2 linked regions of the Rattus norvegicus genome follow. The protein of the gene in region 1 interacts with the protein of each later gene in a pairwise test. Links are inferred from orthologs where the notes say so. Each region holds a gene or a part of one and is shown in the gene's direction. Other genes may lie near its edges. The genes, in order: Cdh1 and Cbll1.

Region 1 (16,132 bases):
CTGGCGTCTGCATAAGCGCTGTGATGCTCAAGAACTTGCGCTCGCTTGCACATGGGCACAAACAATAAATATGTAAAGTTTTTGTTTTGTTTTTAAAGACTCTGGAACCAGTAACCCTGGGTTCACCTTGCGGCTAATCCACACTTTTTGACAGTGAATTGTAGATGTCAACTTGAGTAGAGTTAGAATAGAGAATAACCAAATAGGTGGGAAAGCAGTATCCCTGAGTGTATCTGTGAGGTTGTGTCTGGAAAATATTGGTGGTTCAATCAGTGGGTTGCGTAAAGAAGGGCCACCGTGACTGGAGAGATGGCTCAGAGCACTGGCTGCTCTTTTAGAGGACTCAGGTTCAAACCCGACATCCATACGTGGCTCATAACTGTCTGTAACTCCAGTTCCAGGAGATCTGACACTTTTTTGGCCTCCTAGGGCAATGCACGGACACAGAATATAGACATACAAGCAGGCAAAACACACATACACTTAAAATTCAAAATTAAAAAAACCAGAAGATCCATCAAGTGTGGATGGGTTCTGATCCAGTGGGTTTGTTTTTGTTTTTGTCAATTTGACACAGCCGGAGTTATCTGGGAAGAGGAATCTGAACTGAGAAAATGGCTCCATCAGATTGCCTGTAGGCAAGACTAGCCTTTGCTCAGTTCCTGCCTTCAAGTTCCTGCCATTGAGTCAGCCCTTCATGAGGAAACCTGTAAGCCAAATAAATCTTCTTTTCTCCAAGTGGCCTCTGGCCATGGGGTTTTATCATAGCAATAGAAAGCGCACTAAAATAGGTACCATCTAACCTGCTAAGAATTCCCACAAAATAAAGAGTGGAAGACAGGTGCACCAGCTCTCACTGGAAGCCAGGATGTTCTCCTCTGCCCTTGGTAATCAGAACTCTTTTTAAAAATTTTTTTTTAAAAATTCTTCTCTCGTGGTTGGGGATTTAGCTCAGTGGTAGAGCGCTTGCCTAGCAAGTGCAAGGCCCTGGGTTCGGTCCCCGGCTCCGAACATCCTGACCACAGTTTCTACTCCCTCCCCTGGTAATCAGAACACTTGGTTCTTCTACTTTTGGACTCTGGGACTTACATTAGGCTCTCTGTTTCCTCTAGTTTCCCTGGCCTCTGGGCTGAGACAGAGCTGTGCTGCCAACTGTGGAGGTGCTGCTGATCCTGTTCTTCAGAGTGCTCTAGTCATTTAGACTGTCTGCTACTGTAATATGGATGTCTTGATCGAGTGATGGCCAAGACCTGGTGAGGACAGGAGAGCTTATGCTTATCGACCTTGGCAGGCTGCCCTAAACGGTAGCTGTGCTTTAGTTAGTGCCATAGTGCACTCATTGGTCCTAGCACAATACCTGACACATACTTTGCACTCTGTGTTGTTGTTTTGTTGTTGTTGGAGACAGGGTTTTTCCATGTAGCCCTGACTGTCCAGAATTTGCTCTGTAGACCAGGCTGGTCTCAGAACGCAGAGATTCACCTGCCTAGGCTTCCCGAGTGATGCTACCACCCGGCTGCATTCTGTACGTATGTAATAAATAAATGAATGAATGATTACCTGCCCATAGCCCTTACCATCTTATGAGCTTCATAAAGACAAGGACCATATTCGGTTTATTTCTGTGTCCTCTATACTGAGAAGAACATCAGGCACGTGGGAATACTTGATAAATGCTTGTTGTCTGACTCAGCGAGATATGGAGCTGAGCTGAAGAATCCTCATCCTTGGGGCTACAAACTGCGAGGTGACTAGAACTTGGTAATGGAGGCTCAACTGACACCAGCTGAGTCTTAGCTTCTGAGGAGAGGGTAGCCAGAGGACTTTTTACTTTGGGATATTATGCTATGGGAAGGGCCCCGCCCCTGGAGTGTTGCTTTATTTTGTTTTAATGTTCATTTGCTCCTGTGTCCATGCATGTCATAGTATGAGTGGAGAAGTCAGTTTTCTTCTGCCACATGGGTTCTAGGGATCAAACTCAGGATGTTAGATTTGGCAGCAAGAGCCTTTACCTGTTGAGCCATTTCATTGAACCCTGACTTTTTTTTTTTTTTTTTTTTGCTTAAAACTTTGACTCTGGGGGATTGGGGATTTAGCTCAGTGGTAGAGTGTTTGCCTAGCAAGCACAAGGCCCTGGGTTCAGTCCCCAGCTCTGAAAAAAAGAAAAAAAAAAAAAAAAAAAACCTTTGACTCTGTTGGCACTGTGGTGTATGTCTTTAACCCCAGAACTCCTTAGGAGGCAGAGGCAGGCAGACCTCTGTGAGTTCCAGGCCAGCCAGGCTATACAGTGAGCTCCTGTTTAAAATAAAGACAAACAAACAAACAAACAAATAAGTAAATGTCATATGAGAACATGGCAGGAAGTCAAAGAGTAAAGTCAGAGTGTGGCTAGATGTTGTCTGTAGCTTTTTGCTACCCTCTCTAAACTCCAGGAAGCTCCCACCCAGCTTCCTTTGAATCCACAGGTAAAAGACACATAGTTGTTGCTTTTTTTTTTTTTTTAAAGATTTATTTATTTATATATAAGCACATTGTAGGTGTCCTCATCTACACCTGAAGAGGGCATCAGATCTCATTACAGATGGTTGTGAGCCACCACGTGGTTGCTGGGATTTGAACTCAGGGCCTCTGGAAGAGTAGTCAGTGCTCTTAATCACTGAGCCACCTCTCCAGCCCCAGTTGCTGCTTTTTAACTTGCCTTCTTGGCACAATTGCTGGGTGCTACTGACTCCCGCCTGGAAAAGTATGCCCTTAACGACATTCTTATCTCTGTTCCTCCCACCTGCCCTTAACTTTAGTTGCTAGGATACATCTAGTCCCTGCTAAACATCCTTGACCATCCACCTGTAGGAGCAGCCTGTGTCAAGCTGCTCCTCCCAAGACCTCACATGGCATGGCTGCTTGGTTCTCCTCTCTGAAGCATGACAAACTCTCTCCTCTCCTCCCTTGCTTCTGTTTCTCTTTTTCCTCCGAGGACCTGGAAGTCCCACCTATTCCTTCCACTCAGTAATTAGCTTATGGCTTTCTTTACTGACAGATCAAGAACCAACTGGGGAACAGGACCTTAGCATCAGCACCATCCCTACAGCTAGACTTGTTAATATTCTCAAGCGCAGGGTTCACTGAAAGATCTGAAGTAAACAAGTGAAGTGATGGAGGAATACACCTGACATAACAACTTCTGGCCTCCAGAGGAACACATGTGCACTTGCAACTGCATACACATCACACACGTATGCCCTAAAAGAATGCATCTGGACCACTGAGATCATTGAGAGGGTCTGGCAGGTAAAGGTGCTTGCCCCCAAGCCTAATAGCAACAGAGTTCAATCCTCAGGATCCACAGGTTAGAAAGAGAGAACCTACTCCCAATCTGCCCTCTGACCTCCACACACTCCATTCACACCAAGGCGCTTCCCCTCAAATAGAGAGGTAGGTAGGTAGAGAGATGATAGGGTATAATAAAAATAAAATCCAAAAAAGAAAAAAAATGATAAATTAAAATTAAAAATTGTGGGGTTGGGGATTTAGCTCAGTGGTAGAGCGCTTGCCTAGCAAGCACAAGGACCTGGGTTCGGTCCCCAGCTCCGAAAAAAAGAAAAAAAAATTAAAAATTGTATCTGAAAGCTGAGAACCAAGGCAAGCCTTTTATCACAGCACTTGGGGGACAGAGGCAGGTAGGTCTCTGTGAACTTGAACATGGTGAGATTTTTTTTTTTTTAAATTGCATCTAGGTTGAGTATAGTACTCACACCTATAATCCTAGCACTTGGGAGGATTGCCCTGCAAGTTTGAGACCAGTTTGGGCTACAGCACCAGTTCCAGGACAATATGTGCAAGCACGGTGTAGCATTCACATTGTATTAGGCAATTTAGAAATAATTTCAATAAGGACACTGTGCGTTGTTCCCTCCCTGTCTCTCTTTGACATGGTCTTACTGTGTAGCCAGGGCTGGCCTGGTACTGTCTGTATAGACCAGGCTGACCTAACTCACAGAGATCTGCTAGTTTCTGCACCCCAAGTGCTAGGATTAAAGGCCTGTGTTTACCAGTAGAACCTTCAGTGTTTTTGCAATTCTGAGGCTGGAACCCAGACTATTCAGGAGGTTAATCATTAGCTTCCCAGATGACCTGTAGGGCATCCAGGAAATGACCCTCACTGTTCAATTAAGGAGCCTACAGCTTATGAGCCACTGAGGGCTGGGTGCCACGAATCGGGGAGTGGGCCGTCTGTTAATCTTCCCTGAATGATCACAAGGCGCTTTTCCCCATTAGTCCCCGAACTTCCCAGGATCCTAACTCCTGGATTTAATTTTTTTCTCCTCCCATGTTGATAAGCTATTATATGCAATCACAGACCATCCCAGCAGTTGTCCAACACACAGACTAGCCAGAGCCTTTCATTCTTTTGAAAGCAGCAAGTTCAGCCCCCAGCACCCTCTTTAAAATGTAAATGGCCCTGAGAAGTTCTAAATGATTAGCTGGATTGTGTGGAAGTTTTTCCCAGGCCACAGATAGCCTAAGAGGCTTTTTTACTGGGGTGTGGGGAAAAGAGAGCCTGGGGCTGGGGAGGTTCCCAGGGTGCTCACGTGTGTGTGTGTGTGTGTGTGTGTGTGTGTGTGTGTGTGTGTGTGTGGTGTGTGTGTGGTGTCTGTGTGTGTGTGGTGTGTGTGTGGTGTGTGTGTGTCTGTGTGTGTGTGGTGTGTGTGTGTCTGTGTGTGTGGTGTGTGTGTGTCTGTGTGTGTGTCTGTGTGTGTGTCTGTGTGTGTGTGGTGTGTGTGTGTGTTTTGTGTTTTTCTTTCCCCATAGACTGTTTCCCTAGTCTGCTGTTGCTGAACAGAGTTGCCTGGCCTGGTGGTTCGAGCCTGTAACCTTCGGTCGATGACAAGTTCAAAGCCTGCCTGGGGCGGTACAGAGTGAGTTTAAGGTTAGCCTGGCAACTAGTGGAGACCTTGTCTAAAAAAAAAAAAAAGTATAAAAAGGGCTGGGAATATAGCTATCCATACTCTGTGTCTTGGGTTTAATTTCTATTAAAAAGAGCAAAAATGTTACAGAGTATGAAGGAGGATCTTCTGAGGGACCGGGACGTATAGTTCAATTTGGAGAGTGCTTGCCTGAGCATTCACGGGCCCTGGGTTGGATTCCCACCTACTCCCACCAACTTGGGAAGTGTGGTATGGAGACGCACACCTGAGATCCCAGTCCTGGGGAGACAAGGGCAGGCAGATCAGAAGTTTATGCTTATCTCTCACCCACGAACCTTCTGAATGTACTGCTATCAATACCACCCTTTATAGATTAATAAATGCAGACCGGGGAAGAGTGTACAATTCAGTTCCCATCGCATAGTCTCTACATACTGGCTCAGTGACTCTCCACACTGAAGTTTTATGCCTGTTTGACAGAAGGGTAAACCGAGGAAGGTCACTGCTACACAGAGCCCCAACTGTATAGGGAACCCCTTTGTGTTTTCTCCTCAGCCTGCATAGCCTGGCTGGGGCAGTGAGTGGCCCTTTCTTACCCTCTCCAGAGGACTTGAGCAATCTGAAGAGTGCATCAGGCCTGAAAAGCGCATCAGACCTGACCTGTCTTTGCTGCCCTTAATTGTTGTCTAAAATCCTTTTTATTGAATTATCACCGAGTAATGGAAGAGTCAATGAAGAGTCACCACAGAGTTCCAAAGCCAGCGCTTGCTGGCCAAAAGAAAGCAAAGCCCTAACGACTCCCCGCACCCAGCAATGATATAAAATATGTATTTTTTTATGTAACTGGGAGGAAAAAAAAATAAACGACAAGGCTGCCCCATGGGGGAGAAAACGCCTCTTTCTTTTTTTTTTCCATTATCTTGTTCGGGGCATGATCTGGGCAGGAGCTTCAGTGGGAAAGGAAATACCAGAGCCTTCTCCCTCAGAGCCGCCTGGTGGGCTAAGAAGCAGAGGGAGCCAAGAAGCAGAAATCCAAAAGGCTGCTCTGTGTGTGCTTGGAAAGCCATTGAAATGGAGGGGTCAGCCTGCAGGGAGAGCTGGTGGAATCAGTGGGGGTTGTGTGGGTTAGAGACAGCACCTCTGTGGATGAGGCTGTGCTCTCTGTGGACTCAGGTTCACCGTTAGCACGGTGGGAAATACTCATGGTCAGATTGGGCTGGACCTTTCAAAGGCACAACCTCCACACTTCAGTCATTGCTTCGGCGTTAGCACAGATGAGGACTTGCCCAAGGTTGCACAGCTAGTGACTGGCAAGAATATTATTTTGTAGTTTTGGGTTGCTTGTTGAGATTCACGGGGCTCAAATCCAGTACATAGCTGAGAAGGATGGCTTTGAAGTTATGATCTTCCTGCCCATGTGTAACCCCTATGTGCCTATTACACAGAGGCACCACCATGACTGGTTTATACAGTGCTGAGGATGGTACCCAGGGCCTCATGCATGCACTTGACAAACTGAGCCACATCCCCAATCTCTGTTTTGCCAAGGCTAGGCCAACAGGAGTGAGAGGTGCCTTTGTTTTCATGTAGCCAAGCAACACAGACACGGCAGGCCATAGGCAGACAGGGAAACTGATCTAACGTTTGTCTATTTTCTTTTTGATCCTAAAATTATGTACCGGGGACAGGATTCTCTGATGAAGGTGCTGATGGCTGTGCTATGGCTATGGCATTAAAAGTCTCTGTCTCTGGGGCAGGAGAGCTTGAGTTCTGGTCTTTGCTTTAGCATTGACTTGCTACATGATATCAAGTTGAAGGTAAATAACAGATTTGAGAGACTACTAAAGCATCTCTTCCAGCTCAGCATGAAAAACAAAACAAAACTGACTGGAGAGGGCTGGAGAGATGACTCTGTTTGAGAGCACTGGCTGCCCTTCTAAAGGAACCAGGTTCAAATCCTAGAACCCACATGATAGCTTATAGCTGTCTGTAATTCCAGTTCTAGGAGATCTGATACCCTCACATAGACATACATGGAGGGGGGGAACACCAATGTAAATAAAACTTTAAAAATAAAAAATGTAAAATAAAAATAACGAAACAAAAAACCTGACGGGCGTGGTGGTACATATCATACTCCCGACATTTAGGATGCTGATGCGAGAGGATCCTAAGGTTAAAGCCAGTCTGGGCTGCTTAGGAAGAACTTGTCTCAGAAAACAAATACACACAAAGTCGTAGTGGCACATGCCTTTAATGTTAGTTAGCTCTTGGGAGGTAGCAGTAGTTGGAGCTCTGCGAGTTCGAGGCCAGACTGGTCTACATAGTGAGTTCTGAGAGAGACCTCAAACAAACAAACAAACAAACAAACAATAACCAGACAAACAAGGGGCCAGGGAGGTGGCTTGGGAGTTAAGATGACTTGCTCTTCTTCCAGGGGTTCAGAGTTCAGTTCCCACGCTGAGCACTGAAATTGCCTGTAATTCCTATTCCAGGGGATGCTAATCCATTGGCTTCCTCCCTGGCTCACTAACCTCCTGAGAACTGAAGTTAAGAGAACAGATTTTAGTGGAGCTACCGGGTAGTGGGTCCCTGTAGCTCCATCCCAGAAGTGAGGAGACTGAGACAATAGTGAGTTCAAAGCCACACTGGACTACATAGCAAGACTGTATCTCAAAAGGGAGGGGGACAGGTGTTAGAAAATTAGATGATTAGTCTGGTCTGGTGCCCCAAATCCTAGCATTTGAGAGGCTGAAACAAGAGGATGGCTGAGGCTACTTGGGCTGGAAAACAAACAAAAAAGGCTACCAAAGAAAACCGCCGGAGAGATAGCTCAGTCAGTAAAGGCGAAAACGGCATCTGTGGCACAAGCGTTTGCGAGTATATGCCTCCCCTCGCGCGACACACACACACACACACACACACACACACACACACACACACACACACACGTTAAAATGTCATTTAAAATCCTTAAGACAATGTAAATCAAACCAAACAAACTCATCTAACCAAACAAAATAAATACAAACAAAACAGAAACCTAGATGAAGAGTAAAGTCTTTTGTAACTGCAAGTCTCAGTGGGCCAGAGCACAGCTAGGCTAGGATTCGAGCGACCGAGGAATAAGGAAGCAAGGAAGTCTCCTAAGCCCGGCCCATGTCACCAATTTACAGACGGGTGGAGGAAGTTGAGGGCAGTGCGGGCTCCTTGGTTGCCACCTGCAGGTGCGTCCCCAGCCAATCAGCGGCGCCGGGGGCGGTGCCTGCGGGCTCACCTGGCGGCCGCAGCCTCTGCTTGGCTCACTGGTGTGGGAGCCGCGGCGCACTACTGAGTTCTCAAGAACTTCTGCTAGACTTCAGCCCGGCCTAACCCGGCCCTGCCCGACCGCACCCGAGCTCAGTGTTTGCTCGGCGTTTGCCCGGCCAGCCATGGGAGCCCGGTGCCGCAGCTTCTCCGCGCTCCTGCTCCTGCTGCAGGTATGTGGAGGGTCCCACGACCCGCTTCGCTTTTTCGCTTTTTTTTTTTTTTTTTTTTTGCCTTCTGTGGTTCCACTTCCCTTCTTCCAAGAAAGTTGGGCTCCAGAGGGCCAGATCGCCCTGGAGGCTACGCTGTGCAGGGAGGGAGGTCCAGGAGAGCGCAGAGGGGCCGCCTCTCGCTTAGGTTCCCAGGTGGGGGCGCGCCACGCTGCCGTCTCCCGGGACCCCGAGTTGAGCAGGGTCCCTGTTTGAGACGGACGGAGGAGGCGTGTATTAGGATGGGGGCCTGCCTGTAGAAGGTGGGGGACAGAAGGAGCGCGGACGACCCGAGATAAGGAAAGGGATTTTAGTACCACAAAAAGCACCTGCCATGTGAGGGAGGGACCGTAGATTGGAGATGGGCTCTCTAAGGTAAGAGGGAAGTCCGAGGCGTTGGTTGAGACCGTTCGCGGTCTAAGAAAGTGGTGTCCGGAAAGAGTAAAGGCGTCTCCAGTGAGATGCAAATGGAGCTAGGAGAGAAAGGTAGACCCGGTTGCCAGGTGGTGGCCCCAGATGCCCCCTCCCCCAAAGGCTCTTGGAGCTGAGCTTGGAGGCTGGTTTCGGGTTGAGAGGGTTGCGTCCCGGTCTGCCCCGAGGGGGTCCTCCCACAAATCCCGACCGCCCAGGCGAGGGAAGGGTTACTCTTGGTTTCGGTGTGGGCTGTTGGGAACCCCCTCAAGTCACCAGTTTGTCTACCTTCTCGCCACCCCAGGTCTCCTCGTGGCTTTGTCAGCAGCCGGAGTCGGAGTCTGACTCCTGCCGTCCCGGCTTCAGTTCCGAGGTCTACACCTTCCTGGTGCCGGAGAGGCACCTGGAGAGAGGCCACATCCTGGGCAGAGGTAAGGGAACTCCACTGCGTTAATCGGCCGAGTGGGGTCGGATAGGGAAGGCGCCAAGAAATTGTGCTACTTTGTCGGTAGGATGGAATGGGCAGAACTCTCCCTTGGGATTTAGGCAGATTTGGGAGTCTATTTATTGATTGTGGTTGATCAAGGCAGATATGTCTGTCTCTGCTATTTATACAGGGCAGAAACGGGCCAAGGGTATTTAGAGGTCATCGGTATTTCTCCAACCGATTACTGGAGCCAGTCTGTCATTCCAGACCGCCAAACCTGCTGGGTAGGGCCAGTTGAACTGTATATCCATTTAATGATGAGCAATTGGAGGCTCAAAGAGTGACTTCACGGGGTCAACAGGGCAGGCATTTGAACCGGGATTTGACTCCCACTATTTAGGTATGGCCACTGAGGAACTGACTCATAACTCATGAACATGACTTGTGGTTTTTGTTCATAAAGATAAAAATACTTGATACAGGTATTGCTTTTCCAAGGAATACTTTATTTATTTATTTATTTATTTTTTACTTTCTTTAAGAAAAAAGGTAGCTCTGGTTCATATATTCAAGGACTCAATATATATTCAGGTCTTACTGTGATAATCTAGAATTTTCTTTAACTGTTGGGCATGGCTGGGAGCAAGGCAAGAGGACCAGGTGTTTTGTTGTTGTTGTTTGTTTTTTAACTGGTTTCCCTAATTTCCAAATGCTTCTTTGGCACCAAAATGGCTTCTCTCATGAGGAGTTTAGTTGATCCCAAAAGTATGATAAACAAAAGGGAATAATTTTAGAAGGAGAACTCACCCAATCCCTTTCTGGGAATACTTTGACCACGTTTGTTCTTCCAGCCATAAGCCACCTGAACAATCTACAGCAACCGTGATGGCGCCTAAAACTTTGTTGTGAGCCTTGCGAGTTGGGTCCAGGTTTGGTGGTGCATTTTACAGAGAAACAGCAGCTCCGTTGGGATTGGCTAGTCTTACTTGCTTTTCTGAGACCTGACTGGTTTGGTGGAACTTTTTTTTTTTTTTTAAGATTTATTTATTTATTTCATGTATGTGAGTACACTGTAGCTGCCTTCAGACACACCAGAAGAGGGCGTTAGATCTCATTACAGATGGTCGTGAGCCACCATGTGGTTGCTGGGAATTGAACTCAGGACCTCTGGAAGAGCAGCCAGTGCTTCTCACCACTGAGCCATCTCTCCAACCCATTGGTGGAACTTTCTAAGGGTCCAGAAAGGCTGCAGCCCCGTGGGCCTGAGGTTGGAGTGGTTAGGGATCCTTCAGCCAGTCTCCACTTGATTCCTGCCCAAGGAATAATTTGAGCCTCTGGTAGGTTGCTGAGAGCATTTCAGGATGCCCTTCAGTGGCACTTTGGGATGGACTGGTGAGGGATGAGTGGCCTAGGATGTTTCCGAGGGTGGCAGTGAGTGTCTGAGAATAAGTAGATGTCACTCAGTGTGGAGCAGAGCAGGCTTAGACATGGGAGCGCTTATATATCAGGGATCCCAATGCAGTGCCTCAGTTAGGACCGCCTATGTCAGCAGCGCTGAGGATGAGACCTGTAATGGCCTGTTACAGGTTAGCCAGGAACTTTACCACCTGTGTGTTGGTCGGGTTTTTTGTTTGTTTGTTTGTTTGTTTGTTGAGACAGGATCTCCCTATGTGATTCTCCTGCCTCAGACTGTGCTGGGATTACATGCTCACTTTGGCACTAACCTGGTTTTTATTTTGCACCTCTAAGGGCTAGTGAATAGTCACTAACACCACTGGTTATCGGTGACAAGATCACTTAAAACTGATAGTACCACCTGTTCACTTTGGTCCCGTGAGGCGAGTGAGTCATTTACCTAAAGTAAAAATGAGAATGTCTGGAGGGTGGACACCATTCCAGTCCTCAAGGAACTCACGAGCCTGACTGGCTTCTGTATTGCCTGAAGCATCTACTGCAGGTCCTCCTCTTCTTGGTTTCCTTTTCTCCCGAAGAGAAGACAAAAATAAGTGAAAATGTGTGCTGCTGCTTGGTGTGGTGGTTCACACCTGTGACCAGCATTCCGGAAGTGAAGTGTGTGAGCTGCCTCCCTGGTGGTTCACACCTGTGACCAGCTCTTGGGGGAGGGGGGGAAGCTCTGAGGCCAGAGGCTTGCTAAAAGCTGGACGTTTGAGGTCAGCCTGGTCTATGTAGTGATTTACCTTGACTACCGAGTGAGATGAGACCTTTCCTAAAAGAACAAGAAAGAAAAAGAAGAAGGAAGGAGAGAGATGGGAGAGGAGGGAGGGGGCGCGGGATATGTGTGTGCGTTTTCGGGGAAAACACAGTCCATTGTGAAAATTGAGGACAGAGGTCTTGAGGTAGGGGGAGCTGAGAGTGGCTGGCTCTGATGGAGATAGAGCTTGCCCTGTGGGAGTTAAAGAGCCTCCCCGCTGAGAGCATGCTCAGTGGGAGGTAGAGAGCCCCGCCACCACCGGTGGTTTAGGTGGGAGAAGCAGCTTCCACACAGCAGCCCACAAGCTTCCAAGCTTCCCCGGGCTGGTTCCAGTTCCCCTTAAGTCTGAGGCTCCACCACTACTCTCCAGGGGTCTAATCGCACCAGTGGAATGTGGAATTGCTCTAGATCAGAGGTATCTTTCCAGAAATCACACATTGTACCCCCAGAAACTGCTTTGTGTAAAAGAATTGCCTTCGTTTAGGAAGGTGGAGACACTCTTTGGACCTGGGGAAACAGAGGATTGTGGTATTGGGTCCACTATGCAGGCTCCTGAGAATCTGACACTGGTGGCTAAAAGGTCAAAAATAGGCTTTGATGTGGTTGGTTAGCATCATCCCGGTGTCCCAAGAGCTCACCTGTAGATTCTTTGGCTTCTAAAATGCAGAATCTTCAAAGCCAAAACCCAACCCCCTCCACTATCTAAGCATATTCTTTAGTTAGGTTGGTTTGTTTGTTTATTGTTTCTGTTGTTTGTTTTTGAGACAGGATCTCCCTATGTAGCCTTAGCTGGGTTGGAATTCACTGTTGTAGACCAGGCTGCCTCTGAACTCACGGAGATCCCTCTGCTTCTGCTTCCTGAGTGCTGTTCTGTTTCTATTTCTTGTTTTTGTTTTTGTTTTTTTGACACAGGGTCCCAGGTATCTCAGGCTGGCCTGCAACTCTCTAGGTAGTAGAGGATGACTGAATTTGTGATCTTTCTGCTCCCACTTTTCCAGGGCTAGGATACAAGTGTGTACCGCCATACTGCTTCTTGTTTGTTTTTAAGCTGATTCAGGGTTTGTTTTTAATCTGTATGTATGTGTGTCAGGGGCTACACTAATCTCTGTCCTGTTCTAATTTTAGTCTGTGTGCAGCAGAGTGAAGCACTCTGGTTTATTGAGAGAGGGTCTAACTCAGGCTGGTATGGAACTCACAGTGTAGCCCACATTAGCCTTGAACTCATGGTGGTAATCCTCCTGCCTCAGTTTTCTGAATGCTGGGATTCCCAACAACAATCACCAAGTCCAGTTTAAGCTGCTTCTTCAGAGTTGATTATTTTCCCTTTCTTTTTCTCTTTAGCACAAACTTTTCAGGGGCCCAGGCTCCTTGACTAATACACCAAGGTACATCCCTGTGGAGTGCTGATAAATCCTTTAATTGATGGCTTCCACAGCTTTACAATGTCTGTAGGACAAACGGGCCTGTTTTTTGGGCCGGGCTCTGGTTATTTGATGGATTGACCTAGTTCCCAGGCAGCCACCTGTGTGGACTAAATACACCCATTTCTTCTCCATTCCGAAGGATGTGCTGAAAGCTGCTTGGACAGTGAGAAAAGCAAACATAGAAACCTGCTTTAGGGTCCCCTTACATCATCAGATACCCACTTCCCACCCCCAGCTTCCTGAACTTTCCCTAATTACTCATGCTGGTGACTAGGGCTCATGTGGGCCATCCCAGGAAGGAGAGTAGTGGCTGCCATTCTGTCCTTGCTTTTGTGTCTCCCGAGGAGTGTAGGTGGTGAGGTCACTGGCTAAGCCAGGCCATTTAAGGAAGCTGCCCCAGCTCCTGCCCCACCTCTGCCAGGTGTGTATGGAAATCCCTGTTTACTCTCTGGGGCTTTTTACTGGCTGAAATGCTCACCTTGGTATCTGTTACTCATTCCCTTCCAAGAGCAGCACCAGATAAGCCAGGTGTGGAGACAATCAGCTCTTGAAATCTCCCACAAGCTGCCAAACCCCTAAAATCAGCAAGAGACACCCAACATAGTCCAGACTCAGCCGCCTAGGGTTTTATTCTGCCTCACCGTTATCTCTTTTTGGGGCATAAAGTTTTCCAAAGGGAAGAATGAAATCAGTATAGCAAGTCGTTGAGAAAGTACAGAAAGGCTCAGGTTGAACTTCAATAGCTGCTACTAATGTGGCTTTACATAAATAAGACAGTTTACCACTATGAAACTCAGTTTACCCATCTGTTGGGTGTGAAGAATCATGTATATTTGTTGTGTTATATGCACTAGTGCATATTTGATTAGTAAACACCTGGTGCTAGCTGGAGTATGGGCATCTGGCTGTCCATATCGAGTTGCTGTTTTATGCCAGTGCTAGGCTAGACTCTGGGGCTAAAGCAATGAATGAAACGTATGTGGCTGGGGCTGGAGAGGTGGCTCAGTGGTTAAGAGCACTGACTGCTCTTCCAGAGGTCCTGAGTTCAAATCCCAGCAGCAGATGGTGGCTCACGACCATCTGTAATGAGCTCTGATGCCCTCTTCTAGTGCATCTGAAGATAGGTATGGTGTACTCATAATAAATAAATAAATCTTAGAAAGCTTATATGGGGGTTGGGGATTTAGCTCAGTGGTAGAGCGCTTGCTAGTCCCTGGGTTCGGTCCCCAGCTCCGAAAAAAAAAAAAAAAGCTTATATGGCTGAACATAAATATGGGACCGGGCGAAATGCAGGAATGTAAAGAAAGTAGGCATAATAAGGGCCAGTGAGCTGGGTGTGGTGGTGCACTCAGGAGATAGAGCCAGGCAGATCTCTGAGGTCAAGGACAGTCAGGGTTACACAGAAATTCTGTCTCAAGAAGAAAAAAAAAATCAGTGAGCAAAGGCACCTGCCACCAAGCCTGAAGACCTGAATTTGGTCCACAGGACCCACATGGTAGGAAAGAAAGGACTTCCAACGTTTATTCTCTAACCTCCACATGCATACCTGAGAGTACACTCCCAATAAGTAATGTTTATTTTGTTGCTGTTATGTTTTTTGTTTTAAAGCCGAGGATGGGGGTGCACGCATTGAATCCTAGCACTCAGAAGGCAGAGTTCAAGGCCAGCCTGGTCTACATAGGAAATTCCAGGCTCTGTAGGTCTATTTAGTGAGACCATGTTTTAAAGATTAAAGAAAGTCTTGAATTCCTCCACACCCTGACCAAGGTCCTATAGTGAAACTCTGGCCCCTCCCCCATCGCTGCTGTTGCCAAACTCAGTCTCTCACTACTACCCACATCCTGATAGTCAGGGCAAGACCATTTGTAAAGATAGGGCTTTGTCTGGATAAACAACTCCAGGAAAGAGAAACAGCAGTTGTACAGAGCCTTAGCAGTATTCCCCAAAACCACCTATATAAGTCTTCACCTTTCAGAGACACCCCTCCCCTCCTCGAGAGTGTTTGCCCTGCGCCGGTTGAGGTAAATAAACTGTCCAGTTTGTGGAGGTCAGTCTCCAGTCTCTTTTCTGTTTGTCTCTAAGTTGCTTCAGAAATTTACCAAGAATTACTAAATAAAGCCAGGCGTCATAGTCCATACCTGTATCCCAATGCTTCAAAGCCTGAGGCAGAAGGATCTCAAATGTGAGGCTAGCCTGGGCTACCTGTGGAACCCTGCCTTTGGCAGAAGGTCTCTTTAAAAAGCTGGTCATGGGGTTGGGGGTTTAGCTCAGTAGTAGACGCTTGCCTACCAAGCGCAAGGCCCTGGGTTCGATCCCAGCTCCGGAAAAAAAAAAAAAAAAAAGCTGGTCATGGTGGAATCTAAGGCAGGACGAGGGTTAGATGTTTAAGGACAGTCTGATTCTGTAGTGGGTTTCAGGCTCTCTAGGGCTTTGCACTGAGACCTTGTTTTAGTAAGAGGAGGAGGAAGCAGAAGAAAAAGTAAATAATTTCTTAGGCACCCAGTAGGACTACAAGTCTTGTTTTGAACAAATGAATGGATGCATAAATCAACCTTTGCTACTCACCTCAGTGTTTCTCAGGCTTCATTCTGTATCCTCAGAGCAGCACTGCCCTGGCGGGTAAGTGAGCAGGGCACAGTAGGTCCTCTGGAATCTCTAATTGTACTTGTGAGGGCTCTCTGCCCAGCAGTCTCCCTGGAAGCTGAGCCTAGCCCTAGGCTTGTCCTTGGCAAACCAGGCACTTTTCTCTGATAGCTTCCGAGGCTACAGAAGGGACACATCAAACCCGGGTCTGGAAATGAACAGTTAGTCTTTTTAAACTGATTTTCTTCTGTCAATTAAACTTTTATTTTATTTTTTGAGACGCACTATGTAACCTTGGCTGGCCTAGCGCTCCCTAGGCCTTTGGTTGGAGATCTGCCTGGCTTTTGCCTGGGTGTTGATATATAGGCATTCACCACTCTATGCCAGGCCCTGCTTAGGAGCTGACTTGGAACTCATCATGTGGCGCTGGCTTACAATGTTGGGTCCTCTTGCTTACACCTCCCAAATGTTGGAATAACCAATGTGCACACAACCCAGCAGCCCTGGCCTTAGTTTCCCAGTCTGTAAAGTGGATATAACCATATGCATATATATCCTAGGGGCATGTACCAAATGTTCAGTGAATACTTAGTATAGGACCCCCTGTGGGGCCCTCAGTCTAAGACTTTCCCTTT
Region 2 (15,378 bases), on another chromosome or scaffold:
TAAAGTGAGGTTTTCAGCACCAGATGTATAAACTGAAGGCATGACCTCTCTGAGGTGTGGTCGAGAGGAAGGTTTTTACTGTAGATATGAGGGAGAGGACAGCATCTGGAAGAGTCCTGAGCAGGGAAAGTGGTAGACCAAACATGGCCAGAGGTTTGGACCTAGCCATGAGAGGAAATAGGGGCAAGAGAGGAAAATGAGAATGAGAGAGGGGAGGGGAGGGGAGAGAAGCTAGGGGGAGGGAAGCCCACAAGCTGAAGTTTAGGGGAGACAGTGGGGTCCACGGGGCTGAAAAGAACCACAGGTATTTGTGATATTGTGATATTGAGAAAGCCTCCTGGAGGCTAGCACCATTCGATGGCATGCTAATAGATACCACAGTTAGCCATTTGTCCCAGTTTCTTTTTTATCAGACAGTTGTTAAATACCCCAGCGTGTCAGCACTATATTTAGAGATTTATCAGAGAAAGGTTAAGCTTCAGTACCTACCCCCTGCCATAATCCTAGCAACTGAAAAATTGTGAAAAACACCCAGTAGTACAGAAATTTACATTTTAACAAGGACAAAACCAAAAGGACATCGACTTAAAAATGTTCTTGAGTGTACCTACAACCTTGTTTGTAAAGGCGCAATGAGTGGGAGTCTTTGAAAAGACCACAATGAAGACAATCACTAAATAACATGTTAAACTATGATCACTGCAGCGTTAGTCACAGTTGTTACTGTGCAACGCACAGAACACATTGCTACACATACTTTATTCAGAATTGAGTACTGTGAAAACATTTTTTTAAAAGAGGCCAATATAATAATGTTTTATTGATCTAGGAACTCTGGCACTGAAAGCGTGAACAACCCAAGGTAACAATGTCGTCACCAAGGGACGACCATAGAGCCCAAATCCCTTGACTCCTAGGCTGATGTTTTCCACTAATTGTGCTCCTTTCTACTCATCTGAGAGCTTCAAGTGTGAAGGGCTGGAGAGGGGAGAAGACCTATTATGAGCCAAATCTAGGTGGGGGGTGCTCTGAAGGTCCTCACCAATCGCCGTTGACACTTGCTTTTGTTTTGGCTGAGCAAGATGAAAGCAGCAACCACAGACCCCAGGGACCAAGAACTGGAACTAGGTACCGCCTGTTTTGGTAACTCTCTTTTCCTCAGTCGGGGCCTGCCCTTTCTCATTTCTTCCCTCTGCCCAAGCCCTAACGCTTTCCCTCCGACTCCATCGGTTCCTATCCTCCCTCCTTCACCTTCTCTGCACACAACTGCCTTGCATCCTCGATGGACCGGGACAACCTGGAACTCCCTACAGCTTTTGCAGGGATTAGAGGCGCCTGGTGTTCTCTAGAGCGAGGGGCTAGTCAGCATTATACACGCATTTCAGTTTGAGAAACTACGGTAAGAGCCAGGGCGAACGCGCGTGTCGAGTGGGCGTTGGGGCTCATCAGGACAAAGCCTGATTAGGCAATAAGAACCTTTCCTCCCTCCCAGCACCTAACTCAGCTTCCCTCGGGCAAGAACGGAGCGCGCGTGTTTACACTTCTCTATACCCAGCGGCGGATCCGGGGGGCATTCCAAACCGTTACTCCGCCCGGTGGGGTGGGACCAGCCTAACGGCTGAGACTGCACTCTGGGTGGACTACAAATCCCAGAAGGCCTCGCGCCGCAGGGGGTGGGCGGCGGCTTACCTGCCTGCCTCGCTTCCCTCTGGTTCCTATTGCTCTCCCACTGCAATAGATATCCTTCCTACAGCTGAGGGCAGCCTCTGGGGAGAATTAGAAGTCTCGGCACCAGAGCCCTCGTGTCCCCTCTCTTCCTGCCTCAGTCCTGCCTATGTGTGACTCCCTCACCAAAGTCGGATGGTGCGGTTAGGAAGGGAAGCCAGTGAGAGCAGTCCCAGCGCACTTCCGCCTCTGCGCTCCGGAAGGTAGGGCGCACGCGCTTGCTGCGACTCCGGAGCGACTCACTTCCGCTCCCACTGTACCCTGCGAGCCGAATCATGGATCACACTGGTAAGGAGGCGGAGGCAGCGGGGGTCCTAGTTTCTTGCCCCCGTGGCTCGTGTGGGACTGGTCGCCCAGCAGGCACAAGAGGCTACGCTCGCCCCAGTGCGCCGGGACGTGGCGGAGAGGAAGCAAGCTCAGGCCCGGTCCCGGACTGGGCCTGCTGCTTCCCGGCCTACCCTCGGAGCGGTGCCTCCATCCTCGAGACCGGCAGCACCGCTTCTTTGGTGCCGCTGAGCTCGTTTCGGAACCCTTCGCAGCGCAGGCTTCTTGGAAAGGGACGGCCCCAGTTTTGTTGTGTTTTTGTTTTTGTTTTTCTCATTCCGGTTGCTTTGCACTTTGTGCTGGGGAAATAGGCGGGTGTTTTCCACTCTCGGAATTGGAGAAGCGTCCGGACTGTGGGCGAGAGTGGGTTGGAGACTTCCTGCTGCTTCTCAGCTTCGGGCGGCTGCTGTAGTGGTCATCTCCTGTGGTTATTGTCTTGTTGGCTTTTCGCGGACTGGTAGTTAGAGAATAAAGGCGGATATAGTTTTCGAACTTATAAGTGGAGCATCTTTTTTCTACCTGAACTCAAAGCATGCCCCGCCCTTCGGCCGTGGTTCTTTCGCATCTTTTGGGGATATATACAGAATTTTTAAGATCAAGATATTTTCATCTTATATTGCGAGTAGCTTCAAACCTCGTTTCTGCTGGCTTCGTTTTCTTGGTTTTAGTTTTAGCGCTTGGCTTTGAGTGCTTCAGACAGTTATATCGCCAAGCAGGAGGAAAGGCTTTTTCTTTAGGAATTGACTGAGATGCGCGCAGTCTTCAAACACCACTTAGTTATGTAATTGCATGCAGATACTTGTAGGCTTGGAGATAGAATGATGGGATAGTAAACAATAGGACTACGTCCTTGTCTTCGAGTTTGCATTCTGTCAAAGGAGGCAGACAGGTTGGTTTCTTTTTTAAAAGCTCCTTATAGATTGTGGTGAGTACTTTAAGAAACAGGTGCTTATGGAGTAAGAAATTTCAGAGAGTACCAGGAAAAGGGCCCCCCCCCCCCACTTTGGAATGGTAGGAAGATATAGAGAAGACCAAATGTCCGTAGCTTAGTTAGTCCTAAGTTGAGAAGGAAAATACAAGTTACCTTTTTCAAGACTTTGAAAATCACGATAAAGAGTTTGAGCGGCTACAAAGCAGCTGAACAAAAGGGAGTATAATATTTTAAAAAATAATTCCTATTCTTCTATATAGAATGGTGGAGAGGAAGAACGGGGGTAAATAAATAATCTATGTGGTGGTTGCATTACCGTAGAGGGAGACCCAGTTAAAGCAAAACTCAGTGGTAGAGCAACTTACCTAGCAGGTCCCCAGCAACGCTGTAGGGGAAGTAGGAGCAGGACTGAGAGAGTAGGCAATTGCCACAAATATTTTGGTGGCGATCCAGCAGCTGCTCATGGGTTTATGGAAGTATGTGAGAGAAATGAGATCCCGCTAGAACTGTGTAAAAGAATTATCCTAGTTTCTAAGTTATTAGCCAAAGGTTGCCTGGAGAGATAAGAACAGTCATTCTAACACGAAAACAATCACTACTGAGCTAGCTAGGTTAAAAAAAAAGTTTCCAGACAGCTCTCCTTTCTGTTTAATGGTAGCTTTTCTAGATTTTAAATCAGTTACAACACAGTCTCCTAGTGCTTCAGTTTCAATTGCTGCACATTTTGAGAAGAAAAAAAATCAAATTAAGTCAAAGACTAAATCAAGAAATGGCAGCTAGTTAGTTGACAGTTTTCTGACTGAGTAGACATCTCAAAATAATGATTTTAATGTCAAAGGATCAAGAGGTCTTTTAAATGGAAGTATTGGAGTAGAATTTTGCCAGAAAGTTTTCAGAATATTTTTAAATGGCAAAGACATTAGTGTTTCTCTGGATTGCAGAAGTGTTAGCAGTGAGCTGAGGGCCCTCTGGGGTGGAAAGAAGCAGCAAAAAAGGTGATGTCCCTGCAGCTCTTCAGGCCAGCTCTGTCCCCATGATCCTACATCTCAGAGGCACCCAGGCCAATAAAGATCCTGCAAACACTTGATTCATTCTTTGGTCATTGTCAGAGATAATCAGTGCTTAGGTAAAAGTAGCCCAATTTTTGTAAAAGACTGCTTCATGCTTTTTGGAGAGATGGACGCTGGGGACCGACCTGAACCCAGAACCTTCCTTCAGTACCTTAGACAGGTTCTATCAGTGAGCTGCATACCTGCCTTCAGTTCCTTGGCTCCTTTTATTCAAGATAAAATATTAAATGTGTTGTTTTTAAAACTATATAATAAAGGTATATTTGCTTTAAACTATTCTTGTTATCCCTTATCCAGATAATTATTACATGCTTTGTGTTTTGTTGTTTTGTTTCTATGTATGGGTGTCCCCACACAAACTTCAGATTTTTGTCACTTAAATCTGTGAGACAAACAGTAGCTTTAGAAACAGGCTCGTGAAAGGGCCAGGCTACTGTTTAAATAATGGAGAACTGTGTTATGTGGGCTGGTTCAAAGGCTGGGCAGGTAAAGTGTGTTGTTTTCATTCACAGAAGTAACACACTAAGAATCCTTGTGATACCTGAAGAGCATCATGTTGGCTATTTCAGTTCTTTGGAAAGTTGAGAATACATTTTGTGCAAGGGGAAAAAAGTATCTGTCATAGATCTGTATAGATCTATGTAGGTATTTCTATATGGGTGAGCAAATGCAGTGGAGACTGCTGAAATACATGAAAGACATTCCATTTTAGTGGAGTCTTGAAGATTGATCAAGTTGGCTTTATTATAATTCAAGGTTGTAGCCATTCATCTAATCATCTATGAAAGATTTTGAGAGGAGTTAGTTGCTATAAGAGTAGAAAGTAAATAGAAGATATTTAATCATTGAGACCCATTTTAAATTTTATTTTGTTCATACAAAAGGCAAATGGGTATGAATTTAATTGATTGGTATTGCTTATAGTTGTAGAAGTCATTAGTACTAGCAGACTACTTTCACATTTTGGTTTTGCCGAATTTAATGTGGACAGTTTGGCTATCAGTTCTGATTGTAATTCTTGCAGAAACACTATTCCTTAATCTGTTTCAGACATTACAATTTTAAGATTACATTTGCATTTTCTATTTTTAAGTGTTTCCCTTTCTAAGGTAAAGTTGAATACTTGTGTTATGTATTTTTATGTACTTGAAAAATAAAGTTTTGTGTGAGTCAGTCCTGTGAAATAATGTACCTCTTATTTGTGGACGAGAATCCCTTTTTTTTCCATAGATGATAAGATTTTAAAGGACTAGAAAGTGTCTTTTTAAGACCCAAGCCTAAAGTATACTTTTCCATTGCAGTGTTGACTGTTAACTAAAGGTATCTGTTGCCTATGTCTTTAGAGATGGTATAGGTCAAATAATGCACTATTACTTCTTTAAAGCCAACACATAAACCGGTAAGATGGCTTAACAGATAAAGACACTGCCACCTTCTGAGGCCCTGAAGTCAACATCCGGGGATGAGGTGGTCGGACGAGAGCCAATCTCCACGGATTGTGTTCTCACCTCCACATATCCTCTGTGGCTCCACAGCAGTCCCCCTCAGCACAATAATTAAAGCTTTATTTTCAAATGTATTTCTAATGTAGTGTTGCATTTTCAATTTGTTACGTAAATTTACCAAGTTTACTGCATGGCTACTTCAAATGTTTGATAATTAGACACATATATAAAGACAATTTCGTTTTTTTCCTTTGTTTTTAAAAATCTTTACAATCTGTAAGGTTTTTTTTTTTTTTTAAGATTTTTTTTTAAAGATTTATTTATTATGTATACAGTGTTGCACCTGCATGTACACGTGCAGGCCAGAAGAGGGCATCAGATCTCATTATAGATGGTTGTGAGCCACCATGTGGTTGCTGGGAATTGAACTCATGACCTCTGGATGAGCAGTCAGTGCTCTTAACCTCTGAGCCATCTCTCCAGCCCTTTTTAAAAGATTTTTAAAAGGTTTATCTTTTTGTAAACTACTATGGAATTTTATGGAAGTTTTTATTTTCACTTTTTAGGAAAAGATAAAGGTTCTGTAATTTGTGTCAGCTTCTGAAAGGGTTCCTGTTAAAGAAAAGCCTAACCAAAAGCGTTTCTTTACAGCTTTGCCCCAAACCTTACCAGTCTAGTATTTCTAATCAGAACCAAGATCTTCAATTTACTGTTTGATGTTGATTTTATCTTTATACTTATAGAACAATTTTCAAAAAGAAAAGTGAAAACAACTATAATTTCTTTTTTCCCATTCATATAGACAATGAGTTACAAGGCACTAATAGTTCTGGATCCTTGGGTGGTCTCGATGTCCGCAGAAGAATTCCTATAAAACTCATCTCCAAACAGGCCAACAAGGTTAAGCCTGCCCCTCGGACTCAAAGGACTGTTAGCAGGATGCCTGCAAAGGCCGCACAAGGTGATGAAGGTAACTTGTTTAAACTGAAATGTAGCTCCAAGATCTGACATCCTCACGTAGACATTCATGCAGGCAAAACACTATTGCACATAAAATAAATACAAGTAAATTTTAAAAGAGTTCTGTTGTTTATCTGAGTATATCAAATAATCCATCTGACTTTATTTACTTAAACCTACTTTAAAATTTTAGCCTTACATATTCTTTGTCTTCTATTCCTTTGTAAGCACCCTTCCCTCTTTTTAAAAAATCTAATCGATATTGTAGAGAGCATTACTTAAAAGTAAAATTTGTTTTCACAGGCCTTTCCAAAGCTGATGTTACTGTCTCTTAAAAAAATGTTTCACATTGTGTATCTATTATGTATGGTATGATATTTTCAAGTATATCCATATTGTAGCATGATTAAATCTAGCTGGTTAAAAATAGTATTTCACATTTAAAAAAATGTTTCAAGTAAGCTGGGTGGTGGTGGTGGTGAATGCTTTTAATCCCAGCACTCCAGAGACAGAGGTAGGTGAATCTCTGAGTTCAAGGCCAGCCTGGTCTACAGGGCAAGTTCCAGGACAGCCAAGGCTACACAGAACAAATCTTGTCTAGAAAAAAACAAAAAAAGAAAAGCAAAAATGGTTGACCCTGGTGATGTAGCACATGGCAGAAAGAAATCCCAGCACTTAGGAAGCTGAAACTAGAGGATTGTTGTTTGAGGTCAGACCCTGTCTCAAACAAATGAATAGTATGTAGTCTATAGATATCCCATAATTTATTTAACTTTCTTGTAGATACTTGTTTTGCTATAATTGTGTTATAACATGAATATTAAAACTTTGACTTGGGAGATGGCCAGGTTTTTAAATGGGTGAGGGTAATTGCCACATAAGCCTGGTGGCCCAAGTTTCATCCATAGAACCATTTAAAAGAGGAAGGAGAGTAAAGACTTGGTTTGTACACTTCAGAATTGATCAGATCTTGCTAAATTATTCTTCAGAAAGGGTGTGTTAGTTTTTTCCTCACACACATCAATATTTTGTATTATTAGCTTAACAGTTTTTTGAGGCAGACTCTGTAACATTCTGTCCTTGAAGGTCAAAAATCTTGCTGCCTTAGCTTTCTAAGTGCTGGGATTACAGGCAGGAGCTGAAGTGTGTGGTTGGATGCCTTTCATAGCTTGTCTTGATTCCAGGATCTATTTTCATTAGTGTCTTTCTCTTAATTTTGAATTCTGTATAATACTGACTTTGTTAAATGTATAGTTCATTTATCTTTTGAACTTTACGTATAAAATATTACTGTAAAGAACTTGAACATTCTAGGTAGCCAGTTAACTAGACTTTGCTCTTTCCATGTTTTAGTATATTCTTTAAAAGACCTTTCCTAGTTTTCATGAATATAAAACCCCCCTCTCCTGTCTTCCCATCTGTTAGAAGTCAGCAAGCTGATTGCAGGCCAACTTTAGTTCCTTTAAAAAAGACAAAGTTACTGTTCAGTTGAGTATTGCCTGTGGCTATTTTTCCACTAGCATGACAGAGTTACTAGATTTATATGACCAAGAGAGTCTAAGAATTATACTGTGGCCTTTTATAGCAACAGTTTGTTGGCCCATGCTTTAGAACATTTATGGGTATGTATTGGTTTTTAAAGTGAGGTCTTACCACAAATAGAGAGTATTTGTTTTTTCTTCCAGGATAGAAATCTTGCTGTTAACATACACTCAAGTCCTAGAAGATCTGTCTTACTCCTAAATTCTATTCTTACAATTTGTAGGTAGTTTAGAATAAATGATGATGGGTATCTTTAAATTTTGTTCAGTAAACATGGTGGTAATTGGTGAGGTTTTATACTAGAGGTGGACTGTGGAGTTGGTAAGAGCGTTGAATAAGAGACTCAAATACATGTCTGTTCTTGGCTCTGGCACTCAGCTTAGGTGGCTGCTGTACCCACTATATGTTGTCATTTCTGAATTACTAGAGGTGGACTCAATGATCATGAAGACTGCTTCCAGCTGGCATTTTAAACTCCAGTTTAAAAATGATATGCCAGTTAATTTCTGTGACAAATGTGGATTGTCTATTAAAATCTGTGGGCATATGTAAGTACAATTAAGGTCTGGTGTTGTAGAGGTAGGATTCTAAAATATTTATTATGATATTTTTATAACTAGTTTTATATACAAAAAAGCTAAGGGAAGTTTTATAATAACATGAATTTAATACAGGTTTTGAGTTTTTTTTACTGTTTTAGAGTAGTTTTTGTAATTTTGATTTTCATGTTTTTAGGTCTCTGAGAGTCAGAAATATTTTTCAGTAAATAGACCAATTTTGCCATGTAAATATACTTTTGAAATGAAATTTGAAGTTGAAAAATATAATGTGACTTTTTTTCTCTCAGAAGGATTTGATTATAATGAAGAACAGCGGTATGACTGTAAAGGGGGCGAACTCTTTGGAAATCAGCGAAGATTTCCGGGACACCTGTTTTGGGATTTTAAGGTATAACTAAAAAATGAAACATTCGGCATTTAGTACTGGTATAGATTTTTAGTATATCTATGACTTGTAGCACACACAAGTCCACTTGCTTATTTCTACCATGTTCAGAAATAATTTGAAGTAATTATTAGTAAAACCAAGTAAAATCATAACTGCTGTTTAAGAAAGAAAACAAGCAAATGGAATTATACTAATCAGTTTTTACTTCTGTTTGTGGTAACAACTTAGGAAATTCTAATCATTTCACTGTGTGAATTGATAAGTACAATTTTCAAAATTGCTTAAAGAGAAAATTTTATTAATTTCAATAGATAAACATCTTAGGTGAAAAGGATGATACACCAGTTCATTTCTGTGACAAATGTGGATTGCCCATTAAAGTCTATGGAAGAATGGTAAGTTACAACTAAGGTTGTTTTTATAACATAATACATAGAAAAAAGCTAAGAGAAGTTTAATTATACCATGAATTTAATATAGTTATTCTGTTTACTGTCTTAGAATAGTTTCAGGAGAATCGCAGTAAGATAAAACACATTTAGAGTTTTTTTTTCAGGAGCTTTATACTTGCAGGGACAATTTTAACATCGCTAGGTTCACACATCTGAAAATAGATGTAGATGCCAGGCAAGGGGGGATAGTCTTCTAATCCTAGCACTCCCAACAGAAGTTGAGGCAGAAGGATCATAAGATCAAGGACTGCCTCAAGTATATCAGAGTGTAAGGCAATTTGAGCTGAACATGAGATCCGTCTCCAAAATAAAAAGGAAAGTGTTAGCAGATGTACAGGTATTGGAAAAAGAGCCAAAGTTTTCAAAACATTTTCAAAAACTTGTTATTTAAGATTGTTGCTGGGCAGTGGTGGTACATGCCACCCACTTTATTGCCCCATTTAACCCCAGCACTCAGAATGCAGAGATAAATGAATTGTTCCAAGATAAACAAGGCTTTGCAGAGAAACCCTGCCTTGAAATACCGGATGGATGGATGGATGGATGGATGGATGGATGGATGGATGGATGGATGGGAGGGAGGGAGAATGGGATGGATGGGATGGATGGGATAGATGGACTCTTAGCTGCTTCTGGTATATAGTCTTAATAAATAATCATTAACTCCTGTGTGCCTTCTGTCTATAGATCACATACTGACAGTATTGAAATGCTATAGGATGCTTAACTGTGATATTTTTGCCTACAGATTCCATGCAAGCATGTCTTTTGCTATGACTGTGCTATTTTACATGAAAAAAAAGGAGATAAGATGTGCCCGGGGTAAGATACAATCATTAGATTGTCTAATAGTAGTGCCTTATAAGCAAGATGGCTTAAAGGTTTTGGTGTAATGGAAATAGACAAGGATGCAGATGTGCTGGCTGAGACACTCTCTGTGAACCTGGAGTTTTCCCCTTCCCTGGAAGAGGGAACTAGCCATTGTTGGCCTATTCAGAGTAGCTAAAATGATGAAATCCCTTTATCACCATAGGAACAGTGTCAGACACCAAACCAGTTTTTGTTTTTGTTTTTGTTTTGTATTTGTCTGGCACACCTGGAAGCAAGTATAGTGTGGTTTGGTGATTGAGAACAATCTTTCCAAAATTAGAATTAACTTTCTTTTATTATTAATTGTATGTGAATAATGTGGGGGTGGGGTGGGGTGTGAGCATGAGCAAGGGTCAGGAGGAAGCTTGGTGGAGTCCGTTCTCTCCTTCCAACTTTACCTATGCTCTGGGGATGGCACTTAGATTAGCAGGCTTGCACAGAAAGCACTTTACCTGTCGAGCTGTCTGATTGGTCCCAGGATTAGAATTATTGAGTTCTAGTCCCCTTTTGACTATTTATTAGCTATGTGGTACAAGTAGGGCTTTATATCTATAAGCTCCCTATATTATTTTTAAGATTAAAATAAGATTTAGTGGAATAGTAGATTCTGGCATATAATAAACACTATGCCAGTCTTCCAGTTACCCAAACATAAGGATGTTGGGTGATAATGACATCATGATAGACTCGAAGTTATGCAGCATGCTGTCTGTTTTGGGATAGCTGTATAATAAAGTGAATATTTATATTAATTTGAAACCTCTGATAAGGAAGCCTTGAGAAAAATGGAATGAAACTTTTTGGATTAGCTCAGGGCTTCCCAGCTCCTCTTAACCTGTACTTAAAAGTACCCCAAGGAATACTATTGGTTGCTAATAGAACTATGAACAACTGTAAGAAAAGATTGCCCCTTGATGGTGTAGGATATGGGCATTGCTAGGGAAAAAAGGGAGGGTTTGTTAGTGACCCAATGACAACTGATTTTCTTGGCATATTTCATTAGGTTTTTAAACATTTTTCTTTTTCCCAGAGCTGGGGACCGAACCCAGGGCCTTGCGCTTGCTAGGCAAGCGCTCTACCACTGAGCTAAATCCCCAACCCTTCATTAGATTTTTAAAGTTATAGATTATGAAATACATACATACTGTGTTTAAGGAATACTAATATATGTTCTATATAGTTATAAAGAACTAGTTATATAGAAGAATATTAATTTGGAAGTATATATTATAGACTTTGTTGAGGTATTTCTCTAATGCCTGTTTCCCAGCCCAGGGTTGTGCATTAGCTTTAAAATTACATTAACATATATTGTCCCATTAAGATAATAATTAAAATGTAATGCAACATTAAATGTAATGGACATTAAAAGATTTTCTCTAAATTTTTTTTTAATTTATTTACCTTTAGTGCATAGGTGTTTTGCCTGTGTGTCTGTCTGTGTGAGAGTGTCAGATTTTGGAGTTACAGATAGTTGCAAGCTGCCATGTGGGAGCTGGGATTTGAACCCAGGACCTCTGGAAGAGCATTCAGTGCCCTTAACTGCGGAGCCATGTCTCCATCCCCTAGAGATTCCAGTATTATTATTTAAAAGTGCAGTTTAGTTTTCAGGTAACTAAATGTGTTCTAGTATGAACTTCACCAGCGTAGTCTTTACCTCTCTAGAGAGTTTGACTGTCTTAATTGTAAAACCAAGTGCAGGAAATAAAGTTACCAGAGTTAATTTAAATAGCATATTCTACTGCTTTTAGGCATCACCCAAAAGAAAAGACCTTACCCTATTTAACTGGAGGTGTTTCTGAATGTGTAGTGAATTAGATGACTGAAAAGCAGGAAATGTGCAAAATGGCCACAAATTAGAAGCATCCTAGCTCCTACAGTGAGGAAAAGTCAACTGAATTTTGAATTCCATGGTTGTAAATGATAGATCCTTTGCTTTGTCCTTCCTGTATGTAAGTCATACTATAGTTAGGGAAAATTAATGAGCTGTAAGTATTGGGAAATAGAAGGTCTCTTAAGGCATTCTATTTGGTGATACAGTTTAGAGTTCTGAGGTAAGAATGTTCTCAGTTTGGTAAAGATGTTGATAATTAGTGTCTGATGCAACCACGGAAGATTAAAGGTTCACTGAGAGTTATTCAGTACTCACTGTTAACTTTGCAACTATCTTATATAATATTTTAAAGTAAAGCTTAAATTAAATGTGCTGTTTTATATTTTGGTTTAAGTAAATCAATTTATCTTCCTGTTTAGATGTAGTGATCCTGTGCAGCGGATTGAACAGTGCACACGAGGTTCTCTCTTCATGTGTAGCATTGTTCAAGGTTGCAAGAGAACATATCTGTCTCAAAGGGACTTACAAGCTCACATCAACCATCGCCATATGAGAGCTGGAAAACCTGTTACCCGTGCTTCACTTGAGAATGTTCATCCTCCTATTGCCCCCCCACCAACTGAAATCCCTGATCGTTTCATAATGCCACCAGACAAGCATCATATGAGCCACATTCCTCCAAAGCAGCACATCATGATGCCACCGCCTCCTTTGCAGCATGTGCCACATGAGCACTATAATCAGCCACACGAGGATATCCGTGCTCCTCCAGCAGAGTTGTCCATGGCTCCACCTCCACCTCGTTCAGTCAGTCAGGAAACCTTTCGTATTTCAACAAGAAAACACAGCAATTTAATAACCGTCCCTATTCAGGATGACTCAAGTTCAGGTGCTAGAGAACCACCACCTCCTGCCCCAGCACCTGCTCATCACCATCCTGAATATCAGGGTCAACCAGTGGTGTCTCACCCTCATCACATCATGCCTCCACAGCAACATTACGCACCTCCCCCACCTCCTCCACCACCAATAAGCCATCCAATGCCACATCCTCCCCAGGCTGCAGGTACTCCTCACTTGGTCTATAGCCAAGCTCCACCTCCACCAATGACCTCTGCTCCACCACCAATAACCCCTCCCCCTGGACATATTATTGCCCAAATGCCACCTTATATGAATCATCCTCCTCCAGGACCCCCTCCACCTCAGCATGGTGGTCCACCTGTAACTGCACCCCCTCCGCACCATTATAATCCTAACTCTTTACCCCAGTTTACTGAAGATCAAGGAACTCTGAGCCCTCCATTTACACAACCAGGAGGAATGAGTCCTGGTATCTGGCCTGCACCAAGAGGGCCACCACCTCCTCCACGAATGCAGGGCCCACCTTCTCAAACCCCACTACCTGGACCACATCATCCAGATCAAACAAGATACAGACCGTATTACCAGTGATCATAGTGTTTTGAACTGAAGATATAACAAGGAAAAAAAATTAAATTAGTCAATCTTAATTGAGCTTTGACTGTGGAAGGAAAACGACCTCTTGAGGTAGCTGTAAAACAAAGTCTTGTCTCTTAAAATGGTTTTAATCTGACTTTAGGATTGCTTTCAAGTACTATTCTGTAGTGCAGATAAATGGCTTGGTTGAGCACAACTATATCTTAACAACTGTTACGTTGATGTGATAAATTTTCCCAAAAGCGACCATTTGTTTAAAAAAATGAAAACAATTTCACTGTTCCACTTTGAGAAATACTGCTTTTATTAAACCCAATGTTTAGTTTCCTTGTGACACATTTTGTTAACCTGTGTAAAAGAATTAAATTTCAAAATGGTTGTAAAAATGCTATTTTTATGTGAATTTAAGTGCAGCCATATCATTTTTTAACCCATATTTTACCACTAATTTTCCAAAGTTAAAATAAAATCCTAAAAGTAAAAATGTACTAAATTGTTACTAGGCAGACTGTTAAATTGTAGGGAATTATTTCACGTTTTAGGCACTGAAATTTCAAGGTGTATTGTATAGTGCGTTTCACTTGGATGCCTTTTCATGTTGGGTAACCTGTGAAGCTCCAATACACATCAGAGTTTGTGCCCTTAGTTGGCTGACGTGTGTCTCAGGGTACCCGTTGTATAATTTGGAAGGTGACCTGCTTTACAGGCTCTAACCGCCGATGAGTGCTGTTTTCATTGATGCTTTTCCTGAGTGCTTAGTCACCTAATTTGTCACACTTAATCCTAAATTCTGTTACTTTATAGGACTTTTAAAATGGTGTTATTTGGATGAAATGTGTTCTCTGTTCACTCTCTTAACCTACATATTTGGGGCTGACTAGGCTCTATTTAAATCTGCATTTGCTCATAGTTTGATTCTGTACTTTAGTGCATAGCGTGTTCTTATTTATGGGATTATAAACTGCAGTTTGAGTGCAGTGGAGGGATCTGACTAATGTATTAGCAAGCGGTGTTCTTGTAATCACAAGCTAGCATTTACTCAGGTTTTGTGGCTGTGGTGAGTTTTTCCTCTAAGTTGGGAATGTAAAACTATTATTTCTTCTTTCTTTTCTTGGTAAAACAATCTAAAATTGGAACATTTTACAATGGAATCAATAGTTAAAGACACCCAGATAATTTTTAATTGGGCAGAAGAAAAGTAATGATTAGATTGTGAATTTCAGTGCCGAGGAAGGTGCCTTTAGAGTCAGTGTTTGCATTACAGGGGCTTGTTACAGTCCACTGGAGACGACCACTCAGTTTTTACTGTTTCCTATGTATACGTCAGCCTTCTCAGGATGTTATTATATATCCTTCGAGTTGACTAAACTCTTGTGAAGCTTTTCTTCCCCTTTAAAATGGTGCATAATATAAACATGGTGTGTAGTGTGCAGATAACATTTATTAGATAGTTTGTAGTATATAAATTTAGAACATTGGTTTTTGACAAGGAGTATACTGATTGCTAATTCACCATTCTGTCAGGTACAGGAAAACATTCTCATGTTGGATGATCAGATGCAAAAATCATTTCTAAACTTTGAGAAGAAATAATACAATGGCCATCCATCCTTGGCTGGCCAGAGATAACTAATGCAGGTTTTTCTTGAGCAAGTTTTTTTTCACATGTAGCATTTTGAGAATCTGGTTTGCTCATGCACTATTTCTAGTGAGAAATTCTTGTTATTAGAAGCATGAAAGTGAAATAGTGCGACGTGGTGAGTGTTTCTATCATTACTGTAGGTACTTGGACTGGTGCAAACTTGATTCTTTTTCT

What was found.
Region 2: the proteins of Cdh1 (region 1) and Cbll1 interact in a two-hybrid assay, tested with the Homo sapiens proteins (2 studies listed by BioGRID, with this or other methods). The link is inferred for Rattus norvegicus from reciprocal best matches to the Homo sapiens genes CDH1 and CBLL1.

What each region holds. Positions count from the first base shown.
Region 1 is NC_086037.1:51,393,948-51,410,079, forward strand, and holds the start of Cdh1 (cadherin-1 precursor), read left to right. Parts: upstream 1-8,230; 5' UTR 8,231-8,356; coding exon 8,357-8,404; intron 8,405-8,707; exon of another isoform or gene 8,708-8,815; intron 8,816-9,155; coding exon 9,156-9,282; intron 9,283-16,132.
Region 2 is NC_086024.1:53,799,386-53,814,763, reverse strand, and holds the start of Cbll1 (E3 ubiquitin-protein ligase Hakai), read left to right. Parts: upstream 1-1,978; 5' UTR 1,979-2,000; coding exon 2,001-2,013; intron 2,014-2,801; exon of another isoform or gene 2,802-4,141; coding exon of another isoform or gene 4,142-4,307; intron 4,308-6,297; coding exon 6,298-6,465; intron 6,466-8,844; coding exon 8,845-8,945; intron 8,946-9,256; coding exon 9,257-9,340; intron 9,341-10,145; coding exon 10,146-10,219; intron 10,220-12,520; coding exon 12,521-13,556; 3' UTR 13,557-15,378. UniProt on the Homo sapiens protein: E3 ubiquitin-protein ligase that mediates ubiquitination of several tyrosine-phosphorylated Src substrates, including CDH1, CTTN and DOK1. Targets CDH1 for endocytosis and degradation.